4 linked regions of the Coturnix japonica genome follow. The protein of the gene in region 4 purifies or fractionates together with the protein of the main gene of each other region. This does not show direct contact. Links are inferred from orthologs where the notes say so. Each region holds a gene or a part of one and is shown on either strand. Other genes may lie near its edges. The genes, in order: SUGT1, USP46, USP1 and PHLPP1.

The links.
Region 1: the proteins of PHLPP1 (region 4) and SUGT1 purify together in Homo sapiens (affinity purification with mass spectrometry; 5 studies listed by BioGRID and IntAct, with this or other methods). This does not show direct contact. The link is inferred for Coturnix japonica from reciprocal best matches to the Homo sapiens genes PHLPP1 and SUGT1.
Region 2: the proteins of PHLPP1 (region 4) and USP46 purify together in Homo sapiens (affinity purification with mass spectrometry; 7 studies listed by BioGRID and IntAct, counting the BioPlex papers as one, with this or other methods). This does not show direct contact. The link is inferred for Coturnix japonica from reciprocal best matches to the Homo sapiens genes PHLPP1 and USP46.
Region 3: the proteins of PHLPP1 (region 4) and USP1 purify together in Homo sapiens (affinity purification with mass spectrometry; 6 studies listed by BioGRID and IntAct, counting the BioPlex papers as one, with this or other methods). This does not show direct contact. The link is inferred for Coturnix japonica from reciprocal best matches to the Homo sapiens genes PHLPP1 and USP1.

Annotation. Positions count from the first base shown.
Region 1 is NC_029516.1:148,362,798-148,370,386, reverse strand, and holds the end of SUGT1 (protein SGT1 homolog), read left to right. Parts: intron 1-4,763; coding exon 4,764-4,854; intron 4,855-5,390; coding exon 5,391-5,572; intron 5,573-6,136; coding exon 6,137-6,238; 3' UTR 6,239-6,669; downstream 6,670-7,589. UniProt on the Homo sapiens protein: May play a role in ubiquitination and subsequent proteasomal degradation of target proteins.
Region 2 is NC_029519.1:59,564,742-59,572,330, reverse strand, and holds part of USP46 (ubiquitin carboxyl-terminal hydrolase 46), read right to left. Parts: intron 5,187-7,589; coding exon 5,103-5,186; intron 4,829-5,102; coding exon 4,631-4,828; intron 3,793-4,630; coding exon 3,714-3,792; intron 2,733-3,713; coding exon 2,631-2,732; 3' UTR 1-2,630. UniProt on the Homo sapiens protein: Deubiquitinating enzyme that plays a role in behavior, possibly by regulating GABA action. May act by mediating the deubiquitination of GAD1/GAD67.
Region 3 is NC_029523.1:24,708,607-24,716,854, reverse strand, and holds the start of USP1 (ubiquitin carboxyl-terminal hydrolase 1), read right to left. Parts: upstream 4,530-8,248; 5' UTR 4,395-4,529; intron 4,120-4,394; 5' UTR 4,092-4,119; coding exon 3,922-4,091; intron 3,073-3,921; coding exon 2,949-3,072; intron 2,605-2,948; coding exon 2,497-2,604; intron 2,039-2,496; coding exon 1,878-2,038; intron 1,358-1,877; coding exon 639-1,357; intron 1-638. UniProt on the Homo sapiens protein: Negative regulator of DNA damage repair which specifically deubiquitinates monoubiquitinated FANCD2. Also involved in PCNA-mediated translesion synthesis (TLS) by deubiquitinating monoubiquitinated PCNA.
Region 4 is NC_029517.1:62,913,154-62,920,742, reverse strand, and holds part of PHLPP1 (PH domain leucine-rich repeat-containing protein phosphatase 1), read right to left. Parts: intron 3,132-7,589; coding exon 2,985-3,131; intron 2,474-2,984; coding exon 2,243-2,473; intron 347-2,242; coding exon 144-346; intron 1-143. UniProt on the Homo sapiens protein: Protein phosphatase involved in regulation of Akt and PKC signaling.

The sequences.
Region 1 (7,589 bases), on a different chromosome or scaffold from region 4:
ACTTAAATTTAGATAACAGAGTACATTGTGTGATTGTAGAATGGCAACTCTCAACATTTGTATGTTCCACGTGTTATATGTTCTGGTTAAAAGAAGAGTGGCCAACAGAGAGGGAGGTGATTGTCCCCCTCCACTCAGCTCTTGTGAGGCCCCATCTGCAGTACTGCATCCAGGTCTGGAGCACCCAGTACAGGAAGGATGTGGAGCTCTTGGAGTGGGTCCAGAGGAGGCCACTAAGGTGATCAGAGACTGGAGCACCTCTCCTGTGAGGAAAGGTTGAGGGAACTGGGCTTGTTTAGCTTGGAGAAGAGAAGGCTGCGGGGAGACCTCATTGTGGCCTTTCTAGTACTCAAAGGGAGCGCATAAACAGGAGGGGAAATGGCTGTTTACATGGGTGGGTAGTGATAGGACAAGGGGGATGGTTTTAAAGTGAGACAGGGGAGGTTTAGGTTAGATATTAGGAGGAAGTTTTTCACACAGAGGGTGGTGACGCACTAGAACAGGTTGCCCAAGGAGGTTGTGGATGCCCCATCCCTGGAGGCAGTCAAGGCCAGGCTGGATGTGGCTCTGGGCAGCCTGGTCTGGTGGTTGGTGACCCTGCACATAGCAGGGCGGTTGAAACTGGATGATCACTGTGGTCCTTTTCAATCCAGACCAATCTATGATTCTGTGATATGATTTAAAACTCACAGCAAGGGAAAAGCAATCAGTAGTTCAGTAATAGACATCAGGAGTTAATAACTAAGGAGTTGATTGGAATAACTAGCTCCAATAACGAAGGAATTGTTTGGAAAGCCTGATTTCTTATTTTCTTGCATTAAATATAGCAAAACATCAGAAACTAAAAGAATATTTTTCATACATTTTAAAACCAGAGTCTGAGCTGTTGTTCTGTCTCTGCCAGGTTTGATTTCCTTCATCCATCTGATCAGAGCTCGACACTAATTTTCCAAGCAAACTTTCCCTTAGCATGAATTGTAGAATAAGAGATGCAGTAAAAGTTAGAATAAATTTCTCACAACTTGTTAGTGCATACCAGAACTTTCTTATTAAAAGAATTTTGGTCATTTTTCTGCATCTCATCTGATGAGGAAGGACGCTGTTGTAGTCGAGGGCTGTCAGGGTGGTCAGGTGGCTGCAAGTCGTGAGCTACAAGGAGACTCTGTTCAACCTTAAGAAGAAAAGGCTGAGGGGAGGAAATCTTCCCTCCTAACAGAACAGTGTAAAGAAGATGAAGCCAGACTTCTTTCAGAGCTATGTGGCTGTAAGAGGGAGAGTCATTGGGTACAGGTGGGTGTAAGGCATCATTCCTTTTGCATTGTCCTTTGCTTTGTATTTCTGACAAATGCAGCTTCGGAGCTTCTTTGCTTCTGTTGCATTCATTGACATTCATTGCATTCATTGAGTTTCAATAAGGAGTAACAGTGAAAACAGGATGCAGGCTTAGAGTAGCTGTGCATCATATCTTTAGTATGTAGTTTGTAGCACAACCAGGACCTGTGAATAAGTTAAGCCTTCGTGTGCCTAAAGGTTTTGAACCTGTTTTTAAATTGTATTTAGTTAGAGAAGGTTTTTAAAGCAGCATTTGATGAAGTGGTTAACAACAAGAGCCAGCTTCTTAAACAGGCATGCAAAACACTTAATTTATGGCGGATTTTTCCTGCCTTATCCTAAAGCTGGCATGAGGCACACAGGCATATGTTTAATGAAATATAAATGTTAAATCAAAGGAGCTGGCAAAACACTGAGATGTATTTCTCTTGCCTGGGTACTGAATCTTTTTCAAGGGAGAGAAAAAAGCTAACAGTGTTAGGTGTGGCACAAATGATGTTACTTGTCTATGCAATAGCTATCAGTATCTGCTGGAAAATATTCATTAAAATGCATTCATTGCCATTTGTGCACATAATTGGGAGTTGTTTCTCCTTAGAGCGAGTAAAGCAGAAATAGGCATCTTCACAAGCAGGATTTTCTAGCTTTATTTTTGGAAGACCTGGTTGTATAACGGTATACAGCTAATGATTTCCCTAGTTTTGTTCCTGCCTGCCGCTTTCCCTAATGGGTGAGTTGAATTGAAGTGGATGGAGTAGACGAGATAAAGGCTTATGTCATAAATGTGTTCTGTCTCAGTTTCTTCAGCGAAATATACTCAGTTTGGCGGTGTTGAAATGGTTGAGATTTAAGGAATCTGTATCTAACACTGGGAATTAGTTTGTAGCATTTCCTCTTCCTTGAGGATGTTTGCCGTATAGTACTGACTCAGGGCCACTTTCAGAGAGGAAAATGTACCAACTAGAAGATTAAAAAAGGAGAGGGGGATTATTGGAACAGCAGAAGTATGAAGACTTTTTCTTCAGTGTGTGGGCAGAGTGCTCTGAGTAGCCAAAGGGATCTTTGAGGAGGGTTGTACTCTGCAAAGAAGTCTGTGTTGAGAGGTTCACGTTCAGTATTTTGCTGCATTAGAAATCGTTCTTGATACAGATGATGTAGCCTGTGTTTGAAATACTGAAATATGTTGATGAAAGCCTGAAGCATAAGGATAAGAGGAGGTAGCAAAGGGGGGAAACAGGCAGAAGGGAAATGGAAGTGACATAGGTTTGCGCAGGTTCAGCATTGAGAACGTGCTGGTTTTTGTTATTGTCAGTATAGGCCGTTCAGTGGAGATGCACTAATTGACTATAAAAATCGTGGTGTTAAGGCCTCCTCAGCAGAAATGTGTAGCTGAGCTGATAATGGTTTGTGCAACTTGAGAAGAGGCGTGTGGGAAGTGGCGGGATAGACAGGTGGGTTTAAATTAAGACTTAGTGTTTCACTGCTGACCAATTAGTATCCTTGTAAGTGGCTAATTAACTTAAACATTGGATTCATAAGATCCAAATCCAATAAAAAAAACCAACCAAACAAACAACCCACTAGTTCTGATGTGGAGCTACTAATCTCATATGCGGATCCATAAAAACAAAACCATCACAATTGAAGCTCCATTCGGTTCTGAAGGACGTTCATTCTATGCTTCAAGTCGTCTTGTTCTCAGTGCAAGGCAGTGGTAGGAAATGCATACTTAACCTTGCCTAGGGAAGCGGTAGTTTCCCTAAGGGGAAAAAAAGGAGCAACAGTAATGAAAAATTCTGTTTCTTAAAATGCAGCGTGATTGCAAATATGACAGTTTGGAAATGAAAAAAGCTCTTTAATTTTATAAGGCGTCTTGGGCTGTTACATATCAATGACTGATTAGAAGAATGGATGAAATAAAGTTCACATTTCAGTTCAACGCGACGCTGTGCAAGGAGTGTGCTGCTGGGATCCCTCGGGTTAGCTCTGACAGAGGTGCCTTTGTTCTTGGGTCTGCAGGGATCTCCAGGCTATAGTGGCTTTAGGAAGAGCTAAGAGTTCTCTTATGCTAAGCTACGCAGAAATAAGGAACTGCTGAGGCTTAGCAGGCACAGATTTGAGTCAATTGATAACATCATAGGAACCTCGATGTTTTCTGAAGTGAGTCTGCCACCTAAAAGTGACACTACAGAGTCCTTGTTTTGCAGTTTGTTTTCATCATAGAATCGTCATAGAATCACAAGGTTGGAAAGGACCTACAAGATCATCTAGTCCAACCGTCCTCCTTTTACCACACCTACAGAAAACCACTAAACCATATCTCCTAGCTCCCTATCCAAGCGCTTCTTGAACACTGCCAGGGATGGCGACTCCACCACCTCCCTGGGCAGCTATTCCAGTGCCTGACCACTCTGAGAGAAGAAGTTCCTTCTTATGTCCAGTCTAAACCTCACCTCATACAACTTGTGGCCATTTCCTCAGGTCCTTTTGCAACTGTTATCCTTTGACTGAAGGTTAAGGTTAAATGTGGAAGAACTATTTCCATGTGGTTGTCTGTAGGGATGGTGTGTAGTTGTGAATATAGAGGCATGACATGCTTCACTTAGTTCTGTTTCTTCTATGATAATTACAACCATATCCACTTTTAATTACCAGTTCTGTCAATGAATACTAGTCAATTTTCTCTTGTAGCAGTGTGTTGGTTGAACCAAATGAGTACAGCTTCTGCATTTCTCTAATAGAAGGATCAGAATAGTTCCTGGGTGGTTCTCTGGTTTGTATAGTATACAACAAATACTGTGTGTTTGTGTTGATGGGTGAAAATTAAATCTAGCACTTGGATTTTGCAGTCATTCAAAAGTTCTATTTAATTACTAGAGCTGACTGGCAATTAACAGATGCTTAACTGTACTTTTATGTCATGCAGCGTAAAGGTGTTGTGATCTTTCATTATTCCGGGGTGCCATAATTCACAAAAAGTATCAAGCAAATAGTGAGCATAAGAAAGTAATACTAAATAAAAGGTGAAACTCTGATGTGACTGCTTAGCTCTTGTATCAGAGCTTAGTTCACATGTCACTTAAGACCCACAAGTTAAAGACGCCACCTTGCAACACTGGGGCCCGGAGTTCGAATCCCCCGAATCCCCCCTGTGGCGCAAGTGGTAGAAGTGCTGCTCTGCTACACAGAGGCTCGAATCCCAGGGGTTGGACTCGATGATCTCTAAGGTCCCTTCCAACCCGCACGAAACTATGAAAAGTTCATCTGGTAACGTAGGCCAGTCTTTTTTCAGCGCAGGCTTTGTGATAGAGATTGTTTCTAAACCAAATGTTATTATTTTCTTGCTGTTACAGAACCCAACTAATTTGAAACTGTTTGTCTGATCTGTTTGCCATCTGGATGAATTTTGTTCTTGGCTTTGTGGTTTGTAGGTTGAAATAAAAATGAAGAAACCAGAAGCTGTAAGATGGGAAAAACTGGAGGGAGATGGAGATTCTCTGAAGTTAAAGCAGTTTGTACCAGGTTTGTTATCTGAATTCACCATTAAGAGCTCTATTTTTGTGAAGGTATTTTCAGATATAAACAACTGGCGTGTTAAAAGTTTTTAATGAAATTTGTCCTGTATTTACAAAGGAAAGCCTTACAGTCTTGTGGAAGAAAATGACAGAAATAGGCTGCAGGGCATTACTAAAATTAATTTATGAAGTTTAGTCGTAACTTCTGTTAATCTGATGAATTGTTGAGGATGTATGCTTGTCATTAATTCCTCTAGGCTTTTATCTGTTCAGATGTTTATTCCTGTCGCTGTTTTGAAGTTCTTTGCATTGCTGTACTTATATTAGTACTTAAATATTAGCGTTATTTACCAAGGTATTCTGCTTCTCTAGAAAAGTAATGCATTTGCAGTGTTTCAACACTGATTAATAGCCCATGTTGGAATGAATCGTGTCCAACTTTGATTATGTCAGACTCGCTAGACACATGCATGTAAAGCTGCGGTTTGCAGTACAGCCAAGTCTGTAGAAAATGCTTAGCTAACCAATGCTTCCATCTTTCAGACACCCAGCACTTATATCCATCATCCTCTCACTATACAAGGAACTGGGACAAGCTGGTAGTGGAAATCAAAGAAGAAGAAAAGAACGAAAAGCTAGAAGGAGATGCTGCTTTAAATAAACTTTTCCAGCAAATCTATTCGGATGGTACCGATGAAGTGAAACGTGCCATGAACAAATCATTTGTAAGTCATCACTCTTTCTCTAAAGAAAAGTGTGACTTTTGCACAGTGTCACGGTTGTAGTGAGCTTTGCATGCATCAGAAGGCTTCTATTCAGCAAGACCCTAGGCCTGTAATAAATGGCCCTGGTTCAGTGGGAGATGTTGGTATAACAGGTCTCAATGGAAGACTGTACTTTGTTGTTGCTTTCTTTGTTTCAGTTAGTGTTAGGAGAGGGAATATAGTTTTTGGTTCCTAGAGAGCTTTTGTTGTTGCTTGAGGTGAAAGAATCAAATTTCTATTGTTCTTTGTATGTACAGCTTACAAAAATGTTGAGTGACCCTCTAAAAGCATCCTGTTAATTGACTTCTCATCATGTCCAGTACTAGTAACAAGTATTTTTAGGCTGAGGTTTATGGGCTGATGACTGTCAGACTTCATTCAACGAACACGCACAAAATTCCTATGTAAATTGTTTTTGCACGAAGTTTCAATTCTTCAGGTTTCTTCAGAGTTTGCCATCTGCTGTGACTTCTATATTGCTGGAATTCCTGTACCAAACTAAACACACGTTTCCTTATGTTGCAGATGGAGTCTGGAGGCACAGTTCTGAGCACCAACTGGTCAGATGTTGGTAAAAGGAAGGTAGAAGTAAATCCTCCTGATGATATGGAATGGAAGAAATACTAATCCTATTTTTAATCTTTTACCATCTGTGTTGCCATAATCATGTACTGGCCACTGTATATGAACATAGCATTCTCGGATTCAAAGCACTGAAATGTTCCCTTGGAAACAGGAATTGTCTTTACATTTGGCGTGCTTTACAGATCTCTTCATCTGCAGATGTTAAAGATGTATTCAAGAGTGGAATCCTCTTTTCATCACCTCTGTTTTGGGAAATTGAATCAAACACAGTCTAAATTTTCTACCACCTTTTATCAGCTCTGCTCTTTGGGGATGGGATGATCTCTAATGGGCTGTTAAGGATGATTGCCTTATGCCTGATATTTCTGTTCAATAACTTATTAGATCTTGGCAACTTTGGGTAAAAATACTTTACAACAACGTTAAAATTGTTTGCTCTTTAACTGCTAAATAAAACTGTAAATACAACTTTATATACAGCAGCTTCTTCGTTTTTTGCATTCTTGGTTTTTGATGAAGGGGAATTAAAGCATGTAGCTAAGAAAGTAAATACGCTGCCTAAGGAAAAAAAAACAAAACATATAGCTTGTCTGGGACCAAACTCTTAATTTTGTAAGAACAAAATTGTTCTTGTTGGTGCAGATAAAAATTGATATTATCTTGGTGATAGATTGGACTGTAGTCCAACGTGATGCAAGTCAGCAGGAAATTTCTGCATGCTCAGAATTGCTCTCATTGTAGAGGAGAGTGCCTGCATCTGTCACTGTGCAGCAGTGCGTTGTTTCTACCAGTGCACCTTCTTCATAGTGATTCAAATTTTGAATGATAGCTTTTCCAAACAACAGAGCTAAGGAACTTAAATACTTTCTCTGTCTTTACCTCCTGGATACAGGTCTGCAGTGGCCTGCATGCTTGGAGGCGCTCAAAAGCCTGTTGGATGGCTGGGTTTAGGTGTCCCTGGTTGAGAAGGGGTAGGACCGGGTGACCTCTGGTTGTCCCTTTCATCCTCAGTCATGCTGAGGTTCTGTGAAAGCAGGGGGTATGGGTTACAAAGTTGAGGTAGTGATGCTTGTTCTACATCCCACTGTTGGGAGTTCAGAAACACAAATATTCCACTATTCCAGAAGTAGATGTCACTTGCAAATATTGGCAGCCACCTGAAAGTCACCTCATTCCTTGCTCTTATCATTGGTGCTGTTTTGAATGCATGGCTATTTTTCCTTGCGTTCCTGGTTGTGCAGGCTCTTCTGGATTGTTACTCTATTTCTTTCTTATATATGTTTATTTTTTACTACTGTGAGAACCAGTTGCCCAGTTTTGAGATGGTTTGCTACCTGTATGGCAACTTGATTTGATTTGGAACAGGAACTTGAACTTGTTTCTCATAGATGAG
Region 2 (7,589 bases), on a different chromosome or scaffold from region 4:
GGGATTGAAAGAAATACCCCTTAATTTAGCCGTTACTTGCATAACGTGAGCATTCCGTGATATTTCAGAGTTAATGTCAGAACACTGATGGTGGACTGGTGTCATATCAGTTCCATGATCTTTCATGAGATGAACCTTTTCAATAATTTGTCATAGATCTTGTGCATTTCTTGGTAGTTATAGCAGAAGATTTGGGTGCTTCATTTTTGAGCATGGTTTCCATACTTGATGGTAAATTCATTCTATGAATTTTGCTCTCAATAACATGTAGCAATTATCTGCATGTTTTACAACCTAGAGCTGTCTTGCAGCTGGAGAAAAGCAAAGAGCATTCTATAATTTATCATTTAAATAGTACTTCATAGAATCACCAAGGTTGGAAAAGACCTCTGAGATCATCCAGTCCAACCAATAATTAATAATTTGTCAGATAAGCTAATTCAAAAAAATTTAACAAATATCCTAAAATTGGACCAATTTTAATGTTATTCTTATGCAAAATGACTTCATGTATAAACATGAGCTGCATTAAAGATGCCTTTTTGTTGCTTGTTTGGAAACTGAAGGATGCCCTATGAATGTTCAGCATTAGGCCATGAAGTACGGACCCTTGGACCAACACTGGCGAATGCTGGTCTGGAAGCTGCCTTCGTTCATGAGCAGGAAATGCTCTTGTTTTAAAAGGCAATTAATTATTATATTTTTAATGTGGAAATTTGGAATGCACATAAATGAATTCATCAAATAAGGATTTACAGGTTTAACTTTTCTCCTGTAGAATGTCTGTCTTTTTTGTTGCAGACAGAACATTTCACTCCATCATCGATACAAGAACAAGAATGGCATCCTAATTATGCGTATCTGTAGCCTGCATAACAACCTTCATTCACATGAGTGATCTCTGAAGAGCTCCGCTATTCATGTACCCAAGGACCCCGAGGTTACTCTACATCTTTTTTTTTTTTTTTTTTTTTGTACTAGTATAATGACATGATAAACCACAAAAAAAATGTCATATGAAAAGCTCACTTCTGTTCCTCCTTCAGTGTAAAGTGCTACATTTCCTTGGTTTGCAAAATGGCCATAGATAAATCCGTCTTTTCAATCAACGTTGGTGTAGAAGCTAGTATTCCACTTTCCCCATTATTCAATGAGAAGATATTTCACATTCACAGTAGATTACAGTGGAAAAATATTTTTCCTACAGAAAACTAAAATAGATTTAGCTGTGGTTCAGAAGCAGTTTTCTGAAACACTGACTACCAGGCTTCTAAAAGAAAAGTACCAAAAGCAACACTGTCTCATAAATACTGAACGAGAGTGAATAAAACGTAACAATTAAAAATATATTTTGTGAGATGAGAAAGTGTCCTTGCAAATACTAGAACCAGTTCTTGGTTGCCCTTAAGACAACAGGAGGTTTTATGCTGTTGATTTAATTTGGATAGGCATTTGGGTGATAAGGTTCAAGCACTGTACAACTGTGTCAAACCAAGCAATAGAGATACCTAGTGCTACCTGTGTCTCATCCTGCTTTCTATTCCTTCTCATACCCTACTGACACATTCTTCTACACTCTTTCTTTGCCTTATTCCAGTATGTGTGTTTGATGGTTTTATTAACCACTGTACGACTACATAGCCAGCCAAATTCACCCAGTAAAATCAGAAACAGTAGAACTTAGTCTGATCAAAATGCTGTCTAATATTCAATAATAATAATAATGTAGGATGGAGCCCTGTTTTATGTAGTGTACCAACAGCACACCTGTAGCTGGACTGTGTAATTTCAGTCCTCGCAGATATATTGTACAAGAGCAGCATTGTTATATCTGAAAACTCAAGTCAAGAACGTATTATATTGTTTTAACAGAACAATAAACTTAATCTCTATAAATGCAGTTCATCTGTGTGTTACATGTGTCATCATACTGACTTTATTCCAGTGCTCTGTAAGTTCTGAAATCTCACATCACCTGTACTATCACATTGACTGGGCATACAATATTGCTTAGTTCCATTGTAATTTATATTCCTCTATGTGAACTTGAGGCCTAACATTATACACTGAAAGTTTTTAACAACCCCAAAGCTTAAATGATTTTGGAAGATTAACTTCCTTCACAGTTGAGAGTAGCACATAAAAAAACAAAACAACAAAAAAAAAACCCAACCTATGGCAATTCCAGTAATTATGAAGCAGATTTTTTCCCCCTTATATTTAAATTGGTTAAGTAAGTCAATGCACTCCAAAATCATTTAGAAAGCTTTTAACAACTTTGGGCTAAACACAGTGAGCTCTTCCATATAAAATACTGCTCTATCTGGATTTGGTTTAATAGTCCAATTCTTTTGATGCGTTATGTTATTCCATACAAATTCCACTAAAAACTGACTACAATTAACTTCTCAATTAGACTTAAGAACAACAAACTACCCTCCCTGCCTGAAAGAAAGTTCTGTACATCAAAAATGAACAGTTATGGTGAATAGCACATAGGCCATTTAATGAGAGACAGGAGATATAGTTTTTCAGCCATACAAGACGAGGTCTTTGTAAAAGTCAGTTCATTGGGCCATCACCTTCTTTGCCTGCAGAGCTGTTGTGTGCAGTTGTCACAGTTTCCCAAGTCACTCTCTTGACTGGTAGAATAAAATATAACCAGATTCCGAATTTTTTGATATATCAGAGGTCAGTCCATAAAATTCTTCAATTGCTTGAGCATCTATTTTCTGTAAAATAAATAGAATCATTTAACGTATTGCTAAAAGAAATGCCAAGCATAGATTAAAAAGCTATATAGAAACAGAGGGCAAATTCATTTATATGTTTTAGAGCAGCAATCAGCAAGTTCTCTTTGCAGTGAAATGGTAATTAGTGTTCAGGTGCTAAACCCTACTGATTGCTGTCATTGAAATCAATAGGAACATTCACCTTGGAGAACCTAAAGGAATTAGGCTTTTTCAACTAACACAGTCTGTTTGGAATGCAGTAGTAAACAAAAAACTCAAATGTGGCCTCATCTTTCTGAAAAGTGACAGAAACCCTCTTCAAGACATGCTTAATTTCCAATGGTCCTGAAGATCCAATTCTTAATTTACTCCAATGGATTTAAACCTGGGGAACTAAACTCAGGACCCCAGTTATGCCAGGTGCCACAGTGACATAAAGGGTTTGCTTGGGAATGAATTGTGCTATGTGTAGATAACCTGTAATAGCTGTAGACCACATCCTTCACTAATTTTCATCCAGACAATCCAAGACTGACTACAAAGTTCAGATGCTCTTATAACCTCCAAATTGTTGAAGAAATAAAACTCCAAACAACCCTAACTTCAATCAACCTAATTTTGCCAAGTGATGTTGTCAGACTGTAAAATAGTTCCTATATGTTCTAAGTTTTAATGAATTAACTTGATCTTATTATGCTTAAAAAAATATTCTAAATTAAACACTCAAAATGCAATATTAAAAATGTTTCATGTTGCTTTAAAGTAAAACAGCTCTCTCTTACACTGACAGGGTGAGAACTACACCATTAATCATTCTGTTTGCAATCTATCTTCCTGACAGAGCCATGCCAAACGTCACATTACAACCAAGCTGTGGCTTTGCAGACTAGTAATCTATACACAGATCTGGATCAGAATTTTAATTCCAAACAAAGAGAACATAAACTCAAATGTTGTGCTCATGGCCTTCAGCATACTGACCTCTACAATGTCATCATCAAACAAGAGCCAAAATCCGTGACTTTTCACGATAGTAATATAATGCCCACGATTCGGTCCACTGAAAAGGTAAATGAAGAAAACCCAATATAACACTAGAAAGTACTACTGGGTCGATTTTGATAAGTCACATGTCCATAAAAAAGCAAGTAAAATTATAGTTACATGCTAAGAAGAATACAGTAAACCCATTTCTAGCAGTACAGTATATATGTTCTCTTTTTTTCTGCCTCATTGCAATGACCTAGTCAACTAAATGCATAATGTGCTGTTTTGATTTGTGCTATGACCATCTGCAAATTGATCTACACAGTACTTAACAATTTCCTCATAGCTGGCATCAACTATGGCAAATATTTTTAAAATGACACGAATTAATTTTAAGGGGAAATTGTTTGAAAATATCAGCCATGAATAGTAACTTACTTATTGTTTTTGAGATTAAAGGAGAACAAGATATTTCTCTAGCCCCAAGGATTTGTCTGTTTGTTTCATGTCTGACAATGCTTCGCTCCTGAGAAGCTTTAACAAAGGTATCGTTTTCATTGTCCTGACAGGAACAGGCCGATCTGCTGCAGAGCCTACATACTAAAAGCCCATAGCCCTTCTGGATCCAAGCTCTCTAACTGGAGTGATGAGGAAAGAGTCAGCTTCCTCCTTCCTTTCTCCTGATTTCAGTCTGGTGACTTTGGGAGACTGAAGCACTGTTTTTCAAAGAGGTACGGATTTACTGTGAGAAAGGGTAGCTAAGAACTTCAGGCCAAGATATACACAAGCTGGGGCAGCAGCACAGCTTATATCCCCTCTTGCACTCTCCCTCCATTTTGTCAGGCATGCCTCATCCTTGACAAAATGCCTGGAACCTGTAATAGCTTGGGATATATGTGAAGGAGTCTTACCTTCCACAGTGAACAACAACAGCTACTAAGTCGTACATTCGGTCTAAGTTGACAGCATCACCAGACGTGTTGAAGAGACGTAATTCCAGGGGAAATACTACACGGTAAGACAGCTTAGTATACCTGTGCAATTGTTCCATGTACTTGAATCTCTTGAGGTGTAAGGCAAGAATCATTGGCAACTTTTTTACTCGCATCCTGTGAAACCATAAGAACGCACATGTCCAATTCATAGCCACTCTTTCTTAATGAATAAATGTTTGCATTAGAAAAACACCTTGTAAGAAACAGTAGTATACTAGCAGTAGCTTCTACACTAAGTGGTGTGATAGCCTTGAGTCTGTCTGCAAGTTCTCTGGCCCACGCAGATAATGCATGTGGGGTGTAAATTCTAGAAACTTGATAAATGTTAAAAAGAAGGCTTGTCAAAGTCCAGGAGCAAGATACTGAAACCACCTTGCTCTTTGCTTACCTTTTCTGTGCATCTTGTTTACTGCAGCAGGTTTCACAGTAGTATTTCTGCTCACTACATAATGTCTCTGTGTTACTGAAGTCTCTGTAAGTAAATACAATTATCAGTTCCACAAAGTTCTTAATGCTTTTGCCCCAGTGCCACGCTTGGACTGTGGAACTGGAATCCTAAAAAGACACACAGGATGAAATCTTGTTTCCACTGAAATCCAGTTTTCTAAAGCACTAAAAGCAACTGTACTGGGATTTGCAAAGGGACTTACAGTATCTGGCTGTAGTGACAGCTTTGCATTAGGTGCTGAGACTCTCTATGCAATACCAGAAAAGGGTCAACTGTCTCTAAATAGGACCTATATCCTCATCTCTTACATGTCAAGGAGCTGCCTAGATTTCAGTGTAGATAGGCACCCATCCAGTGCCTTTTCAACTTATTTATAGAACAGAACATCTTCCAGCACACTTCTTTCATCCCCAGGTAGTTCACGTTTTATAGTGTTCTCCTGTAAGATAAGCCTGAATTTTCTTATGCAGAAAAATAAACTCAACTTGGGCTTCTGCATCCCCCAACCTCTGAACATTTATCCAGAAGTTATGTGGTTATACCTTTATGATATCTAAAAAGGAAAGCGTCAGCTAGTATGGTGGTTTTTGTATATATCACTAAAGTAAATATGCTTAGAAAAATTTCTAAACAGAGCTATTGAAGGGAGGCAGAGTTGGCTTAATTGTGCTGCACAGTTCGCAGAAAAGATTTGTCAGAAGTCTCAACGTTTATACGCTTTGGAACAGAACTTTAGGTGTCTAAAAATCTTAACAGGAAAAAAATGACAGTTGTTTGTTTTGCCACCTCTAGTGTTACATTGCAACTAGGCAGGTGTTTTGAGAACTGCAAAGGCAGGCATAAGCACCTATCGTCCAGTTTAGACACAGGAGGTTTTTTTGTGACTGGTCTTTAAATAGAGTATTCTATCATTCAAACACCTTGGGTTGGAAGGGACCTTAAAGCTTATGGAGCTCCTACACCCTACTTGGGCAGAGACATCTCCTGCTAGATCAGGTTGTCCAGAGCCCCATCCAACCCAGCTTAGAGCACTTGCAGGGATGAAGCATCCATGGCACTCAGCTTCTTCTGTGGGCAACCTATGTCAGGGCATCACCACCCTCAAAGAGAATACTTTCTTTGCATTATCTAATCTAAATCAAACTACCCTCTTATCTATCCTCTACCTTCTGCCTAAAAGGCTGTTACCGTATTCTACTAAAGCAGGTGAGACACAGTCATAGAACCTAGAGGCATTACTTGTTTACTGACTCAGCATATTAATTTATTTGCCTGTACCAAGAAAAAAACAAGTAGCCCACATACAAGCAGTAAGTATTTTCTTGGGGGAAGAGATGTATGGAGGAAAATTAAATGTTTTTTTTGCCCTTCAAGAGTGCAATTTCTGTAGTTGTTACATCAATCAAGAATTCTCAGCATGGTACTCCTAAAACTTGTTTCACACTTAAAAATAAGAGCTACAGGCTTCAGAAACCTCAACTGCAGAATGAGTTGCAAGACATTTCTAACTTCCTCCTATTCCATTAATGGGCCAATCTGCATCTGTTTATATGGCATTTTAACGAAAAAGAGGAATTTACTCTCTCAGGACATGCTAATTCATCACTGACCCTCTACACTCCCATATTTTTAGAATTCATTTACTGAAATGTTGTATTGCATGGATTTTCTTTAATGTATCACAGAATCACAGAATTGTAGGGGTTGGAAGGGACCTCTAGAGATCATCGAGTCCAACCCCGTGTACCCCATGTACCTTTTCAATGCAGTAGTTTTTAAAGCTGTAAAGACACAGCAGAGCAGTTACCTTTGCAATAGCTATTTCTCAGGACACTTGTGTCCACAGAGAAATCACTGCCATCTGATTCAGGAATTGGTTTATACCTTGTATGCTTTCTCTTTCTGCAACTCCATAGTTGATGTGAGGTATCAGGCAACGCTTCCTAGGCATTCCAGAACAGCTGTTTCAGCAGTTGTTAAATGTTGGCAGCAAATTTGGAGCTTGAATGAGTAATTTGGCCAATTCATAATCATTACTTTAAAGCAGTAATATACTGTCTTAAACATAGGTACCTGCCTATTGCGTCAGTGCCAAAAGTCCAGATATTTTGTATCCCTCAGAGTAACCATTCATGCAAATCTGAAAATCACATAGATCTCTGAAGGATTTGTTTAATAAATAGGCATGAAATATGAGCAGAACTGACTTAAAAAGTTATCACTATAATTTTAGGATGAGATGTGAATAAGAAATTTACATGGCACAAAAGAAGACTTTGGGAATCTTTTGCCCTCTAAGGACTTTAGTGCTCTACAAAGCACACACTGACTTTTAATACACACATAAATCCTAATCAACAAAGCACTTGACTAAAAGCTTAAAGATAAGCACACACGAACCTCTTTGAAACCAATTATTATTCTGCA
Region 3 (8,248 bases), on a different chromosome or scaffold from region 4:
TATTCTTCAAGGAAAAAAAAATCAAGTGTTACAGACACGGTGCCATAGGGATTCCAAAAAGCTGCTTATCAAGTGTGATTTTCACAGTACCAGAGAATCACAGGACAGCTGGGCTGGAAGGGACCTTAAAGCCCTACTGCACCCCTTCCCTCAAGAGCTGTATTCTCTCACTGACACTGGCAAAATCCATTCCTGTCAGCCACTTAGCAAACATCCTACAATAGGGAGCTACAGAGAGAACACTGCTTGTAAGGACACAAATTCATGGCCTGTAGGATTTCATTTTGTTTTCTCCTTTAAATAACATCCTTTTACATTTTTAATTCCCTCTCTATTTCTAGAGACGACAATAATTAGTAAGAATATTAGCGAAAATATAAGCCTGGTAATGTTTTTATGTTGAAGAGCAATTATGTGATATTGGAGAAAGACCTTTTGTAATCTAAGCTAAACTAGTCAAGGTGTGAAACAAAAGTTACAAATATGCAAAAACAAATTCAAAGAAATACTTCTCAGCTCCTGAAAATGTAGCTCTGTATTCAGAGAGCTCTGCTTGCAATGCAATCTGAAGGTTGACTTCCAGTGCACACTAATTTCCTAACCATACCAACTTTAAGCCCATTCACTTGTTCACCAACCTTCCTTTTTTGGCTCTTTTTCAGTTCCTTTTTCATTATGGCTTTCCACAGGAGATGTTGGTTTGTGACCATCTTCTTTAACATCGTTACCATTTTCACACTTGGCAGATGTCTCCTCAAGCTCACAGTCATCGTACTCTTTCACTGGGTCTTTGGATCCCAAATTTGTAGTTATCTTCCCCAGACTATAAAATTTGGACAGAATACTTGGCTGTTTATATGAGGATTTTAACCAGTTTAGTTTAAGTCGTGACTTCTTCTGTGTTGGCTTTGCGCTCTCGCTCTCAGTGGAACACTTGGCAATGGCATCAGTTTGATTCTCCAGCTTTTCTCCTGTTGCTTTCCTCTTTGACCTGGTTTGTCTTTGATTTTCTTCTGCTGCAATTTGTTCTTTCGATACTTTGGACTTTTTCTTTGCATTGCCACCTTCAGCATCGCTTTTTCTTTTCCCATTTCCTTTGGGTAGCTTATCTTCAGCTACCTCTCCCACGTGGCTACTTGGGATGTTCTCCTCCTCCTCGGCAGAGCTGCCAGTCCCATTGCTCTCGGAGTTTTGATGAATTTTTTCCTCCCCTTTAGCTTTGGGCTCTTCCAAAGGCAGTTTATTCAGTTCTTCCTTCTTCAGTAGCTGACACGTTTCTTGAATATTGCCAAGGATGCACTGCAGAACTTCCTGGGCATCGTGCTGCAAGTAGCCTTCGTACATAGGGTTGAGCTCTCTATTAAAGGTAAATGAGTAAAGTACCAGAGATGAGCTGATCTTTACTAGAACATGTGGCTAAAGACTTAAAATAGGAAAGCTTAGCTCTAAAAGCAGGGGGATGATCCTCTCTGCACCTGAAGAGAAGCCCTCTCTGTCACAGACACCCATGGGGAGGCAGTTACAGCCTTACACAGAAGGGCACTTAAAGACACATCCAGTTGTGACCCAGGAGTGGTACTTCTCAAATCAGTGAGAATGCTTAAATACTCCAGTATTTAAGTACTGCTTAAAATCTACTGCTGGATTTCAATTATATCTGTACCAAATCTAAATTTACTTCTAATCCATAGAAGCAGCAACAAACACAAACCTCCCCCTGTGAAATGCAGGAGAACCTCCTTTGTATAATCGCGTAACAATGCCCCAAAATCTACAATTATCTACTCCCTTCCCCCACAGTTCCCTCCTGCTCTACTGTACAGTTATAACTATGCCAAAACTTTAGGTGAAAATGTGGTGTTTAAGATAATTTGTACCTAAGGGTGTTGAGCAGCCTTCGTGGCTGAGTAGCGAGTTCATCGGTGTATTTCTCTGGGTTCAAAAGAAAGCTGGCTTGAAGCTGTTCAACAGAAAGAATCAACGAGTGCAAACTGCAGATCAGTTCATAACTCGCCAGTGGATCTTCTTTACAGTTTCCCTGCAATGAGAATGAAGATAGTTGCAGCTTTGTCTGTAACAAGCAGTTATGAGTAGCCCCTATGTAATTATCCAACAAATTGGAAAGATTTATTTTTTCCCCACAAGGGGAAACAGGTGAGTTTAAGTCAATTCATTGCTCATTCGACAGCAGAAAAGAAACATGAAAGCCCCAGTATGAACGTTAGAAGCCCAAACTATCTTTGCCCACAGACATAAGGTACGCTAAGTTTAACTGAAATTCAACCAGCTCAGCCTTGTGCTTACAAGTTCACAAAGGCTCTGAACACTCCTGTTTGAACACAAGTCCAAAACCACTCAAACCTGCTTTCACCCAGAATAGTACAGAAAACAACACTGCCCAACTTCTTAAGAGCAGAAGAAAACAGTTCCACTTTGAGAACCTTCCTGGCACACACCCTCACCTGCACCGTTACAAGGTGTACTGAGATGTATTACCTTTTCTGCTTTTAGCTCTCCTTCATCCTTCAACGATTCTTTCTTCTTTGAAATGATATTATATAAATGTTTGATTCCCGTTTTAAAACCAGGACAAAAATATAATACCTAAAAGCAACAGCAGAAAACAAGACAATAGTTGGTCAACCCAGTTATTCAACATTACCTCTCTATGCTTAGGACCCAGCCAGCTCTGCATCTCCCAAGGCCGCTGCTGGGATTACTCACAGCAGGGAGGTGGCCCAAGTATGTAAACTGACAGATGACTCAATCACAGCAATCTATGGTGCACACACTTCCTGTGGTATCACTTTTCTTCCCCTCACTGTAATTAGATTCCCCTGATACAACATCCGGACGTCTCCTCTATAATGGCAGACTAGGAAACCCAGCCACTTGCACTAGAACAGTACAATGTGATTTTTTTTTGAGGCCCCTGAATGTGATCTTACCTGAAGAACGCTGTTAAGGTAACAGGTGTTGCCAAGATTATTCAAGCCCACAAAGGGTAACATGTTGTCCTTCTTCTCACAGCTGACAAGTGAGGGAGGCTGTGCTGCAGGAACAACCTGGTCACTGTCAAACAGAGAAAACAAGCATAAGAAACCTGCCTGATATGCACACACAGCTCTCCAAGCCTCTACCGTATAGGTAGCGGAAGATAAGGAGACAGCTTACAGAATTAATGATTAACACACAGATGAAAACTGTGTCATGGTGTTTCCGAGTCTCCTTGGAGCTCCTCTAACAACCTGCAGGCAGCCTGACAGGCTTCCAGCACGTATTACTACTGCATGCACTTCCAATGCCTGTCCTGCAGAACAGCCCACAGGCCAGACTGAACGACTCAGCTGAGTTCTCTTTCAACTACTTTAATACGCTCTTCATTCATTCCTAAGACAGCACCAAGAAAAAGGATCCGCTGCTTATTTTCTATTGCTCCAGATCCACACGGCTTCATTACAGGATGCACAACAAGAGGATAAACAGCTGAATAACCAAACCAACGACCCTACGCCAACACAGCAGAGCCTTAAAGCCTTAAAGTCTTCACCACCACATATTGCTGTGATCGGGTCATTTCTCCTCTGCCTGGTGGGACTCAGCCCTGGCTGTGCTGCACTGAGCCCACAGGTGCTGAGGGCTGGGAACACAGTGTGGCAGCAGGAGCGGGACCGCTGCTTCCAGCCGTGATATCCTTACACTAAGAGCACGCTGAGAGCAGCCTAAAGGCCCGATATCCCTTCACTAAGAGCACGAACCGCATTGTGAACACGCTTTAACCAACTCAGCGGCGCAACCGGACCGAAACGAGACAACTCTGTCCCAGCACCACAACTTTGTGCCCCGGGACGCTCAAAACACCGCAACCTCGGCCGGGAAAGAGGGAAACGGCAGCGGGCACAGCCGGGCACCCGTACTTACATGTCATCGGCGCGGAGCTCGGCGCCCTTGTGCTCATGTTCCGTGTGCTCGGTGAAATCCAGCGCTCTTTTGGCCTCTTTCTTCTGGAAGAGTTTCAGCGACAGCCGGTTCTTCCTGCAGGGGCTGCCCCGCTGCGGCGCGCTGCCGTCACTCGGGAGCACCCCCGGCATCTCCGGGCGGGCGGCGAGGGGCGAACACCTGCCATATACACACATAATAAACACACATAACAAACACACACGGCGTCACGGCCGCCTCACACCGCCCCGCTCACGGCCTGGCCTCTCCTCAGCTCTCCCCTCCTTTCCTCTCCTCAGCTCTCCTCTCTTCAGCTCTCTCCTCCTTTCCTCTCCTCAGCTCTCCTCTCCTCTCCTCCCGCCGCCCCGCTCCCTCCCCGCCCTCTCGCGGTCCCTCAGTCCCTCATCCCCCCTCCCGTTGCCGTTCTCTCCCCGTAGCCGTGCCCGTTCTCTCACCGCTACATGGCGCCGCCGTTTCCCCGCTCCCCGCCCGCTCTGGGGCCGCTCGCTCCGACACGGGAAACTTGGCGCGTTTTCCGCGCCGCCAGGACCCGCGCCCGCAGCCCTCCTCGCGCCCAAGCGACCGCGGCTGCCTCGCTCAAACGCCGGAGCGGAAGGCGGGGACGACGCCGGCCGGGATCGAATTGCCATGGTGGCGAGCTGCAGCCCTCCTCGGGACGGCTAGAGCGAGTCGAGAGAGACCTCGGAGCGGGCTCAATCGGCGGCACCGGCACCAAGAGTCCGCCGCTTCCGTCAGGCAACGCGCCGGGGAGCCCTCAGGGTCCTCGCAGTGCGCGCGCGGGCGCCGCTAACGGCGCGACCAAGGACCCGGGGCTGGAGAGGGGGAGGGGCGGGAAGGGGCGGGACCAACCACCGCGCCGAGATCACACCGCGGCAGCGGATTGGTCCGCGCGTAGCCCCGCCTCCTTCCGCCTCCGCCAATCACAGCGGGCCGTTTGAACGGCTCAGGATAACGGCCGTTGCGGGGTGGGACGGGTCAGTCTCTCCTCAGAGCTCGGTCGCGCCGCTGGGGGTCGGTGTCAGCTCCGCTACCACACGGAGCAGCAGCAGTCCCGGGGCTTGTTTCACCCCCACAGCTCCCTGCCAACCCTCCCATATTGGCTCGCTGTCATGAGTTAATGCAGGGAAGTCCTTCCAGCGGGACGGTGCCGGAATGGATCCGTTTAAATGCCACAAAATGGCTTTTCCTTTCCGTATCAATCCAGAAATAGAGCAACAGCTCATGAAATATTGATGGCTGCTCAGCAGGCTCAATAAAGGAGCTGTTTGTCCACAGCCTGTGCGGCTCCGGCCTCTCACAGTAAAAGGAATGTTTCAAACACGGCTGCAGGTGTGAGGGGTGGCTGCAAACACAGCCCTGAGATGCTCAAATGCACCGAGTTAAACGATGTGTAATTGTACGGGCTTTGCAGCCACATGTCATAGAAACGGCTGCAGTGGGAAAGCAGAAATATCTGCAGGCTGAACCAAAAATAACCCTGTGAAATGCCTGGAAAGAGGAGATTCCCAGGAGGTGGATGTGGGGGAAGTCTCCGTTACAGAGCAGTGTCCCCTGCAGGGATGAAGCCCCACAGCTCTGCTTGTTGATGTGAGTTATGAGTTAGAGCTACTCACAAAGCACAGAGCTGTAGCAGCATCAGGCCCATCCATCTGCACAGTGCACAGCCAGAACTGCCCTGTGAATTTAGTGAACATTGGTGAGTTGTGAGCAGACAATGTGCTCTTTCAGCACTGCCCCACTCCTGGGGTCACCTCAGTGCAGTAACACCAACCTGACCCAGCCCTGAAGAGCTTGTGCTGGCCAGACTGATTTCATTCTATCAGAACACTTGGTCAAACAGCTTATGGCAGGAAGTGTAAGAAACCATTCACAAACATGAGAATACTGAATATAAAGTGTGAAGACAAGTCTGTCTGTTGGTAGGAGTGGTATAGATGAACATTTAGAGTGATCCTGCCTCCATTCACAACCAGACTGAAGCACGGAAACAAATCATCCAAGGCACTTGGCTGCCTAGGAAAGGAAATCTGGCTTCCCACAGCCACCAGCCCTCAGAGCCTGCAGATGCTCCCACTCCACAAGGTCCTTTTGATCCGAGGTTCCCAGCCCATCTCAGTGATGGGATGTGTCCACCAGCACCAACCATTAGGGCTGGCAGGAGGGGCAGCCTCCTCCATGGGAAACATGGCTGAAAAGTTGAGCCTGAGTGTGACCAGATGTTGCCGGAAAGCTTTTAGATTAGGCATCCTTACAGATACGGCCTCTAGGAAAAGCAGGAAGCAATAAATCAGAGCTTGCCACAGTCCTGTAAACTCCATGGTGAAGCCTGCAGTGAGCTCCTCTTTGTAGCAGCTTCCACACGGCAAACTTCTGCTGTCAGCCAGAGCCACAACACATGAGCACAGAGTGAGCTCTGCAGCAGTGCTCTCCACGCTGCAGTTTAGCATTTCTGAGATGGAGATCCACTGCAGGATACTCACAGCCTTCACTCTCATTTCTCCCTCTTAACCTGGGAGGAAGCACAGCTGGATGAAATCACTGAACTCCTCAAGTTACACGTGCATCTGTCATACCTAAGAAAATAACAATTACACCCACAGCATAGAGATAAAGCAGATTAGAGCATAACCATATCGATATCTGCCTTTGTGCGCTGGAAATCTGCGCAGTGAGGAGGGCTCTGCGGGTAGAGCCAGGGCAGAACATTTTTTCCATGCATCTTTCTGGAAGTTCAGTTCTGCGCTGTGGAAAGAATGATGCTCTGTAAGCAGCTGAAGGGTTTTCCCCCATCTTTTGTCTGTCTGGGCATATTTTATTTCACAACGTGCAGCTCGCTGCTCAGATTAATGTAACATATGGCTCCACAGCCTCGCTGGTAGCAGAGGAAGTGCAGCTTTCCATTCCGAGCTGGAATTCCAATGAAAAGCCAGGTGCTGTATTACAAACCGGCATTGAAATAAAAGGAAAAATCTCTCCCTGGTTGTGTGTAAGCCGGGATAGCGCCTCCCAGAGCTGCAACATTGCGGGAAGCAGAAACAGAACCTTCAGAGGAGCCCAACGCTGTGCAGCCGTGCACCATCTGCTGGCCACATCCCTGCAGACACACACACACACACACCCCTCACATTGATTCCATCAGTCCTCTCCAACATGGATGGTACCCCCACACTTACAGATGTGAGGCCCCCCTTGTACAGATCCTGCCTTGTGTTTGTTTTTAAATCAAACTTGATGGGCTTCCTGCTGGTAACAGGGAGTTGGAGCAGGGCGAGTGATGCTGTTCAGGTTCCTCACCCATCCCAGACACTTAATATGTATTCAGATTAAACACAGTGCTTTGTTACTGTCAGACATACCATGCTTGAGGGAAGCAAAGTGAATCATCCTGGCACAAGAACTTTATGAAGTTGGTAAGACTTGTAACAGTGGGACAGAACAATATGACAGGAAAGGTGTTACAACAAAGGTGTGATGACAGAAGGACCAGCACAACTGAAAGGTGCTAGAAAGGAAGATTGCCTACCGTATCAGAAGAGTCCTTGTTCACAGGGGAAAGCTTCACCAAGGAGAGATCTCCATGAAGTAGAGACCCTTCCTCACTCACAATCAGCCCTTAAATGGGGTCTAAGAGAGATGGAGGCTCCACCCCTTCCACTCACAGCTGAATTGCCTTCACCTGTGCTCCCAGGGCTGACCGGGTCCTTTCCCCAGGTGCTCAATCAGTAGCTCAGGCTGGGACTCAACAGTCCCAACAGGACTCTTCTCTCTGTCAGTTTGGGGTCTGTAAATGGATGTTTTGTAGCTAACTTCCAGCTGCACCAATGCTGGCTGTGCTCTATGGAGCACCACGTTTATGCTTGTAAAGCCATAGCAATTTTTAGGCAATGGTGACAGACAGGCTCCCGTATTGCATTAGAACATTGTGAGAGCGATCCAAGCACCATAAGGAGCTGAGGCATTTCCCATCCCTACATGGGAACCAGCACGGTGTCTGGATGAGCCCTGCGCACTGCCGTGTGTAGGGTTTGCTTGGAGACTCAAAGAGCTGCACTCATAGGGAAACATCTCAGGTGCCTGACGTACCGTGCTCACCCTTGTACGGTCTGTAATGCCTTCCCAAACTGAGCCTTTGGGTTATTGTGGGTGTCCCTGTAGCCCCACAGTGCTTTGTATGGGAGCTCCTTGCCCCTTTCCCCCATTAACTAAGAGGTAGCTGTGAAAGGCCGTAACCACAGCAAACGAGTGAGTGTGGATGGGGCAGGATTTTTGCATTTGCAAACCATAAAAG
Region 4 (7,589 bases):
AAAACCTTTTATCCTGGAGTCATTTCAAGAGACTGCTGACTCCTCTCAATTATGTGTACTGTATTCTATAAGCATCCCACAGAGAGCCAGGCACAAAAGCCAGAAAGCAGATGACAACACAGCTGCCCTGGAAACACACTTACCATTTGAGGAAGCATACAGGGCTTTGAGAAAATATCCACTGATTTTCAGAGTTACCAGTTGATTTCTTTCACAGTGTAACACTTCAACATTGTTAAATATCGTTGCATCCAGCTCTCCAAGTTTGTTGTCTCTGAGGTCCAACTGGGTCACGTGGTGGAGAAAGTCTATTTCATCAGCCTCCAATCTCCTAATTGAATTCAATCTTGAAGACAAAAAGTGAGATTAAATGTAGTTACATGAGAGGGTCCTGCTGACAAACTAATGCTCACTCCACCATCAGTTGCTCAGGATTAATTTAGCATACCTCAAGGTTCTAATGAATTTTGATTTTTAAGTAAGTTTTCCTACCTCGTGGGATTTCAAAAATAGGATGGATCAGCTCTGTTGTTTTACCTATCATGAGAAAAGAATGATGCCACCGGGCTTCTTTCTGAATTACCTTGAAAATCATTGATAATAAGCTCAACAGAAATCTAAGTGCTATTGTTACCCTGTCTATAAAAATAAAAGATAATCTGTGTCTGATAGTATGAAAAAGATAAAATCACAGGTGTATCACAAGCATCTCCTGGAAAGATGAGAGCCTAGCAGACAAGAAGTCTGTAAGTGTTCACATCTCCTACTTTATTGAAAGGTCAAACTGAGACTCATGAATTCCCAGACTTGCTTGCCACTTCATCATGTTCCACACTGGAAAACCAAGCAAAAACCCAAGACAAGTGGGTCTGTCAGATAAAGAAAACAGTTGTTTATCACACCTTCACTGCAGTGCAGTTGCTGCCAACATTCAGCAACTTCTGGAGAAGTTACAATTGAAACAACATCATCTTGTAATAGCTATATTTAAGATGGCAGAGTACTTCAAAGAATTCCAATTCTCAGATCTGAGCAGAACATTAAAATCAGTCCATCAACTTGCATTGGTTCGTTATTCCTCTCTACCTACAGTTTTGCTGTTGCTCTTTATTTCAGACATCACCCTCCATACAACAGCTGTATGTTTTCAAAGTAACGATATTTTTCCACTGAATGAAATTATGGAATAAGCCCCATCCACTGTCACAGGCTATTCTTTTCTGTTTCCAATTTACAAGGCAGTGCTCACTTCTGATTTCAATGAAGCAAAGCACTTCACAGCGCAACAAGTACAGTTTACAAACATAACAGACATGAAATAGCCAGGACACCTTTACAAAGACCTTTGAGAAGTCATAACACCTACTTTGATCACTTTTATACCTTCACAAGATACTGTCTTCAACTACACTAAACCACACTAGTTAAATAGTAGACCTTAACAAAGGACAGGAGAAAGTGAATTAACAAGAAGTTAAAGTTATGTGTGATAGAGAGGTGACTTTTTACCATTTTATCTTTTTCTTGACATACATATGATCGCCTTTCCTTGATTCCAAAAGCTGACAAGTACAGAACAGTACAGCACGTTAAGTTTTACCTGGAACAGTTACATTTAACTAAGCAGTTCTAAAATCCATCACTATTTGGATATCATAAGTAAAGGTTATGCATTGAGCCTTGCTCAACTGCTCGCAAAATCTGGGTTCTCCCAAGACAGTAAGAATGACCAGCACACAAAAGCCATTTGTAAATAGGGTTCTCTTTAATATCTGCTGAAGGCATCAATGAAATACTGTCACTTGTTGTGGACTAGGCCTTGTAACACACCAAGAAACATAATCTGTTTTTGCCCACACACTTTGAATTTTCTTTTCATCATCTTACATATCTGTAATATTTCAGATAGAAGCTTTTTTCAGATAAGTAACTGTAATTTATAGTATAGTAATACTGCACTAACTAGAACTATGGGAGCCATCAGCATTCCATGCACCATTTCATTTTATCTTTTGGTGTAAACATTCATGTCCTTCAAAACTCATGATCCTAAGCGCAACCTCTTCCTCAAAGAAAAAACACTAAGTCTCTGCAAGTGCTGCAAGTTATGCAACAGTCAGAAACATGATCTAATACAACAGATTCATGCCCAGAGGTTATTATGACAACTAAATAAATTGTTTCAATACCACTAATTTAGATTCAATTTAGATTTCTTTTTCCCCATTTTTCAAATACCTACCTTAGGTCCACATGTTTAATATGAGGCATCCTTTTTAACACTTGCAAGTTGAGTGTATCCACACAGTTTCCTGACATACAGAGTTTATCCATAGCAGTCAGCTTCTCTAATACTCCTGGAATGTCAGTGAATTCGTTGAAGGACAGACTCACATAGCTGAGCTGATGCATATGCTCCAATTCATCAGGAAGGGACTGGAGAAAGTTACCATCCAGCAAAAATGTCTGCAAGCTATTAAAGATGGGGGGAGGGGAAGGGAGAGTGAAGAATGTGAGTGACCTGTTAAATCACATATCCTTCCTATAAACACACAAGTCTGCTGTGGTTACGGTGAAATAAAATATACAAAGGGCATAAGAAAAACAAAGGAACAATGGTTTAACATCTGCTACAGAAGATACTGAGCAATTAAAAGCCTTGCTAACTATGAAATTTTGGCCATGCTAGTAGACACCTTCAAACACCTCCACATATTTGATGACTGAAGCATGTAAGCAAGGCTTAAAGATTCAGTTCACCATGAGTGTGACCCTTGTGTTAAATACTGGGGACTTGAAGAGTTTCAGATGCAAAGTGAGCTTACTCGTAGAGCAGAACTGCTTCTATATAGATCTTCAAGACAGTTTCCCTTGACACAACCCAGTTAAGCTTATATTGCTTTTCATAGCAAGATTATGTGCAGAGTCATGTTTGTTGCCTTTATTATAAGGCTGTGTACATTAAGTTTTAAGAAAGTACTTGCTTGTGCATCTCGCCTACAACTGCTGGAACATTTCTGAGGGCATTGCAGGACACGTTGAGCTCCGTCAGGGTTGGGATACTGCAAACTGCCAGTGGGAAGTCTCCTAAATTATTATTGGAGAGGTTAAGGCTCTTCAACTTGGTGAATCTACAAAGAGATGAGAAAAAAAAAAACAGAGAAAAAGTAGTGGAGCATAATAAACACCTAGTTGCTTTGCAACAATTAATGTGAAGTAAGACTGGCTATTTAAATAAAAATCACACGCGCTTTTAGTTTATGTACTCCAAACAAGCATGGAAACTTTCAGGTACTCAAGTTCAGCACCACTTGCAAGAGGATCAATCACGTTAAGCTGGTATAGGAAAATAGGTCCTCTTGAACAACACACTTAATGCACGTAACACAGGTCGGATCCTTGTAATCCACGTAACATACTTCATTTCTAAAAAGGTCTTCTGTGGCATCTGATCCTGTACTAAACACTGCTGAATTTCTCAACACATTTTTTGATTGTAAGACCACCTTAGTGATGCTGGTTATGAGTTGCTGGAAACCTCACTTATTTCAACACAGTTTTGTAGTTTTGTTCAGCTCAGCTCCATTCATGCAAATAGATACTACTGCCTTGCAAACAAAAAACCTCATTATAACGCATCAGGGTTTGAATTAAAAAAAAAAAAGGGGGGGGGGGGGGGGGGGGAAATAAAGCAAAATTCAAGTAAGACTTCTGTAGTGACAGACAAATTCTCTGGATTTTGATTAGGTGGTATCCATCAGGATGTAAAAGCTTGATCTCAAAATGCAGTCCTCGACATTTCACAAAACTCAAAATTCCCTTGGTTTATCCAGTCAGCCACAGAAGCAACTTGTGTTTGCTCACCCTATTAAAAATGACCAAGAATGAACAAAAAAACCAAGAGGACAATTCAATTAGCCAGCACCCATGTTCAGCAATGTTATTATGGTTGCCTAACAACCACTGGGAGGTATGCTGAAAGACAAGTAAATGGATGAATGAAAAGATCTGCGTCAGAATCTGATACATGGGAAGAAGTTTCTTTTCTGGCATGGTTTATTCCATAATATTTTATTTAAACTTAATTTTCCCTTCATTAACTCTCAAGCCCTTCATTTTGTGAGCGGGCTTTTATATAACATGAAGCAAAACTGCACCTACAAATCCTCCCATTTCACATGAGAGTGATCTCAGATAGTATGTGCCCGTGCATCCATAGCCTCTGTACTGACCCAACACATTCTAATCTTAAAGCACTTCTTCCCCAGTTAGAAAACAAGAACAGAAAATGCATTGAGCATTAAGTCACTTACAAATCTTCAGCACCCAGGCCACTGAATAAAACAACATGAAAACACAAATAGTGCCTCCATAGCACATCTCAAAGGGGATGTGGATTTTACTTACCCCAAGAGACAAACTAAACACACTTAATATTTACAATTGTTTCAAACTGACATGGGAACACTTTGCCATCTGTTGGTATTTTGGTACGAAGATGGAGACAAAAAAGAAGGAAAACTCTTGGCCAGAACTAGCATAGATTTTGAACACCCCATATTATGCTGGAGGCAGAAGAAGTTTGGAACAGAGTTAGATGGAGAATAAATGAAATCTTGCAATCAAATTACTGCTGCAGGGAAAGAAATGCTACCGTGCAGAAACAATGACTAATGCATCTCTAGAGGGAGAACGGTAAAAATAAAGAAGAATGCTAGGGTAAGCTAACTGATGCTAATAAGGGCTGTTAGCCACACACACACCAAAAAAGTTAAATGAAATACATTCCTGTTCTCCTATTTTAGAAGAAAGGGCTTAAAAATCGTGAACCTAAAAACTAATACCCGCCATCCTGCATTTATCTTGAAGATTACCGTAGTCTTAGGCCAAAGATAGAATGCCACCCTCAGCTCTGGTGGGACAGCTGCTCCTCAGTTATCTCAAAGTCAGCTACAAATACAAGTGCCAGTGACTATGAAAAAAGGCATTTCAAATGAGTTTTTCAGTATTTAGGTGTGTAAAACAGTGGTGAAGACAGGAAGGCAGTAACTAAAATCTGACAGATAAGTTTAAAAATGCAAACATTCCAACTTTCAAGTCAATCACAAAAAAAGAATTAACTAATTTAATAATCAACACGTAGGCTACAGCTTTTGCCTGTACTACTCTGGAGCCTCAGGAACAGTTTCAGTGCTTTTGCCCATCAGCCAAGTGAAAAGTGCAGTCTACTACACGACTCCAAACACAATCTTAAGATAAAATTACAGAAGATCAAGCTGTTACATTGAGAAAAGAGGATTTGAGGTGGGGAGGTAGAAAAGGAAGAAGCTAAAAATACATGTTTACATCAACAAGCATCAAGGCAGGGTTCAACTTAAATGTTTTTCTGCATGCGTTCTCTTGTGGAAAATCATCCCAGGTCCAGGGGAAACATTTTTTTAAATGTGTTGTATCTTTACTATCCTAAGGTATGTTTTAATATTAAGGGTCTTCCGTGACTTAATTTGTATACTGAACTTCCAGTAATCTAATTAATAAAGCCATGAACTGTACTGGTCAACTGGTCTATATAACACGAGAAGCATCTCCAATACTGGATACATATAAACCAAAATTACAGAAATAAGCTTATGTCAAATAATCCACAAAAAAAAAAAAAAAAAAAAATTACTGTTAAATCGTACTTAAAGTTGGAAGACAAATACTTTAAATATGTTCATCTGCAACATGCTAAAGTCACATTCCTTCTTACAAAGCAGCATCAATTACAATAAGCAGCAGCATGTGCCCAAAGTTAGTCTGCCTCTCATCTCTGATCACTCACATGCCAAGCTAACTACGCCACAAATGGGTGGGCGCACTCCCGTTATGGAGCACTGCCATGCAACACATTTGAAACGCTGAATTGTTTACAGTGCTTCTCTTATTGAGATAGATTTACAGTCAGTAGCCACGCTATAGGTGCTGCTGATGCTATAAATCACAAATGAGAAAAATATTTTACAGACTTCATTTTTCTGATGCTGTTGAGTTTACATGACGTTGAGTTTCAAGCATTTTACAGAACATCTACGCTGTTTTCTCACCCCCAAGTCTTTATTCCTAACAGAAGCTGGGGAACACAGTGATGTTGCCCCCATAGGAAAGAAGAAAACATTGTTCATTTGAGGTATGACATGGTAATAACCTCACATCAAGTCAGTATAAATGAATTCCTTCCTCTTCTTCTACCCTCCCTGGTTCTAGGAGACGTTACCCCTTAGAAAAAGTCAAACTGAAGAACAACGCTGCTTGACATGCTGTGTTCCGTTAGCTTAGTAGACTTTCTATCGTAATGACCAGCGTAGAAATACTCATCTGGCCAAAAATAGTCCTATTTTAATCTAGAGCAAAGCATTCAAGTGTCAGCTCTTGCTTTTAAACACACAACACGACTGAACACTAATTGCCGTAATTGAGCAAAAAAAAAGCATACTTAATCCTGAAGCTGCCACTTCAGGAGTGGTATTAATTTGACATATGCAAAATGAGGAGAGGGGCTAACAAGAGTTGTTCATACCATGGCAAAGCAATGAGCTGACACGCTAACTTCAAATTCACATCTACTTGATGTGCACAAAGGGATTTCCATTATACGGTACAATACTTGTCTTTCAGTATGCTTGGAGTAGGGTAAGTATGTTCAAGATGGCCATACACCATGACTGGAACACAGCCAAAAAGCCTAGCCTAACAAAGCCAGTCTCAGCTTACTCTTACCAAAAGCACTTTAACTCTCATGTTATACTACAAACCCAACAGAACACACGGCTTACAGACTCAGACTAAATTAAACAATTGCTTTCCTAATGCCATCTCCAGCATTTGATTTATCTGATGATTGTGCTCTGTGGTTGCAGTTCACCATCACTTCAAGCAGCAACACTGCTGTCCCTCAGCTCCAGCATCATTTGCTAGCAGAACTATGGCACACGAGTCTCTGCTTACATACATGCCTGCTACTTTAGCCAGTAACGTAATCACAATAAATAGTCCAATTTTCTATCATTTTGCAGTTGCATCTGATTCATCCATCCATGGTGTATCACCTAAAGAAGCAGTGTGTCAGAAATAGTTCAGAGCATCTCCATTTACACACAGATGTGTGGCTGCAAGAGCCTTAAATATATCAGACAATTAATAAAATTTAATAAAAAATTAAACTCTCTTGCTCTGCTAAGTTCGTCAAAGAAAAGCTGAACAAGGGAAGACCGGTTCTGCAAAAGCTATGGAAATTCACTTGGATGCCTCAGGTGAAGGCTTTTCCTAACTGAGGTCAATGGCAGCACTCCAAGTTTAACAACAGAAGAGTTTTCCACAGATGATAGCAGAGAACAGGAAGGAGGAACTCTGTTTTGCTGGACAAGACTCCTGTTCATCTAGCAGCCAAGTAACTGATGTCACACCGCACAAAACCAGCTGGAATAAAGTCATCTCAGGCAAGGAGATCAGTTACAGAGTTTGAGAGAAAAGATCAATTCTGAGCAAGTCAGAAAAAACCTGAACAAATTCACCATTACTTATCACATTCCCCATCAGTTGAATGGATA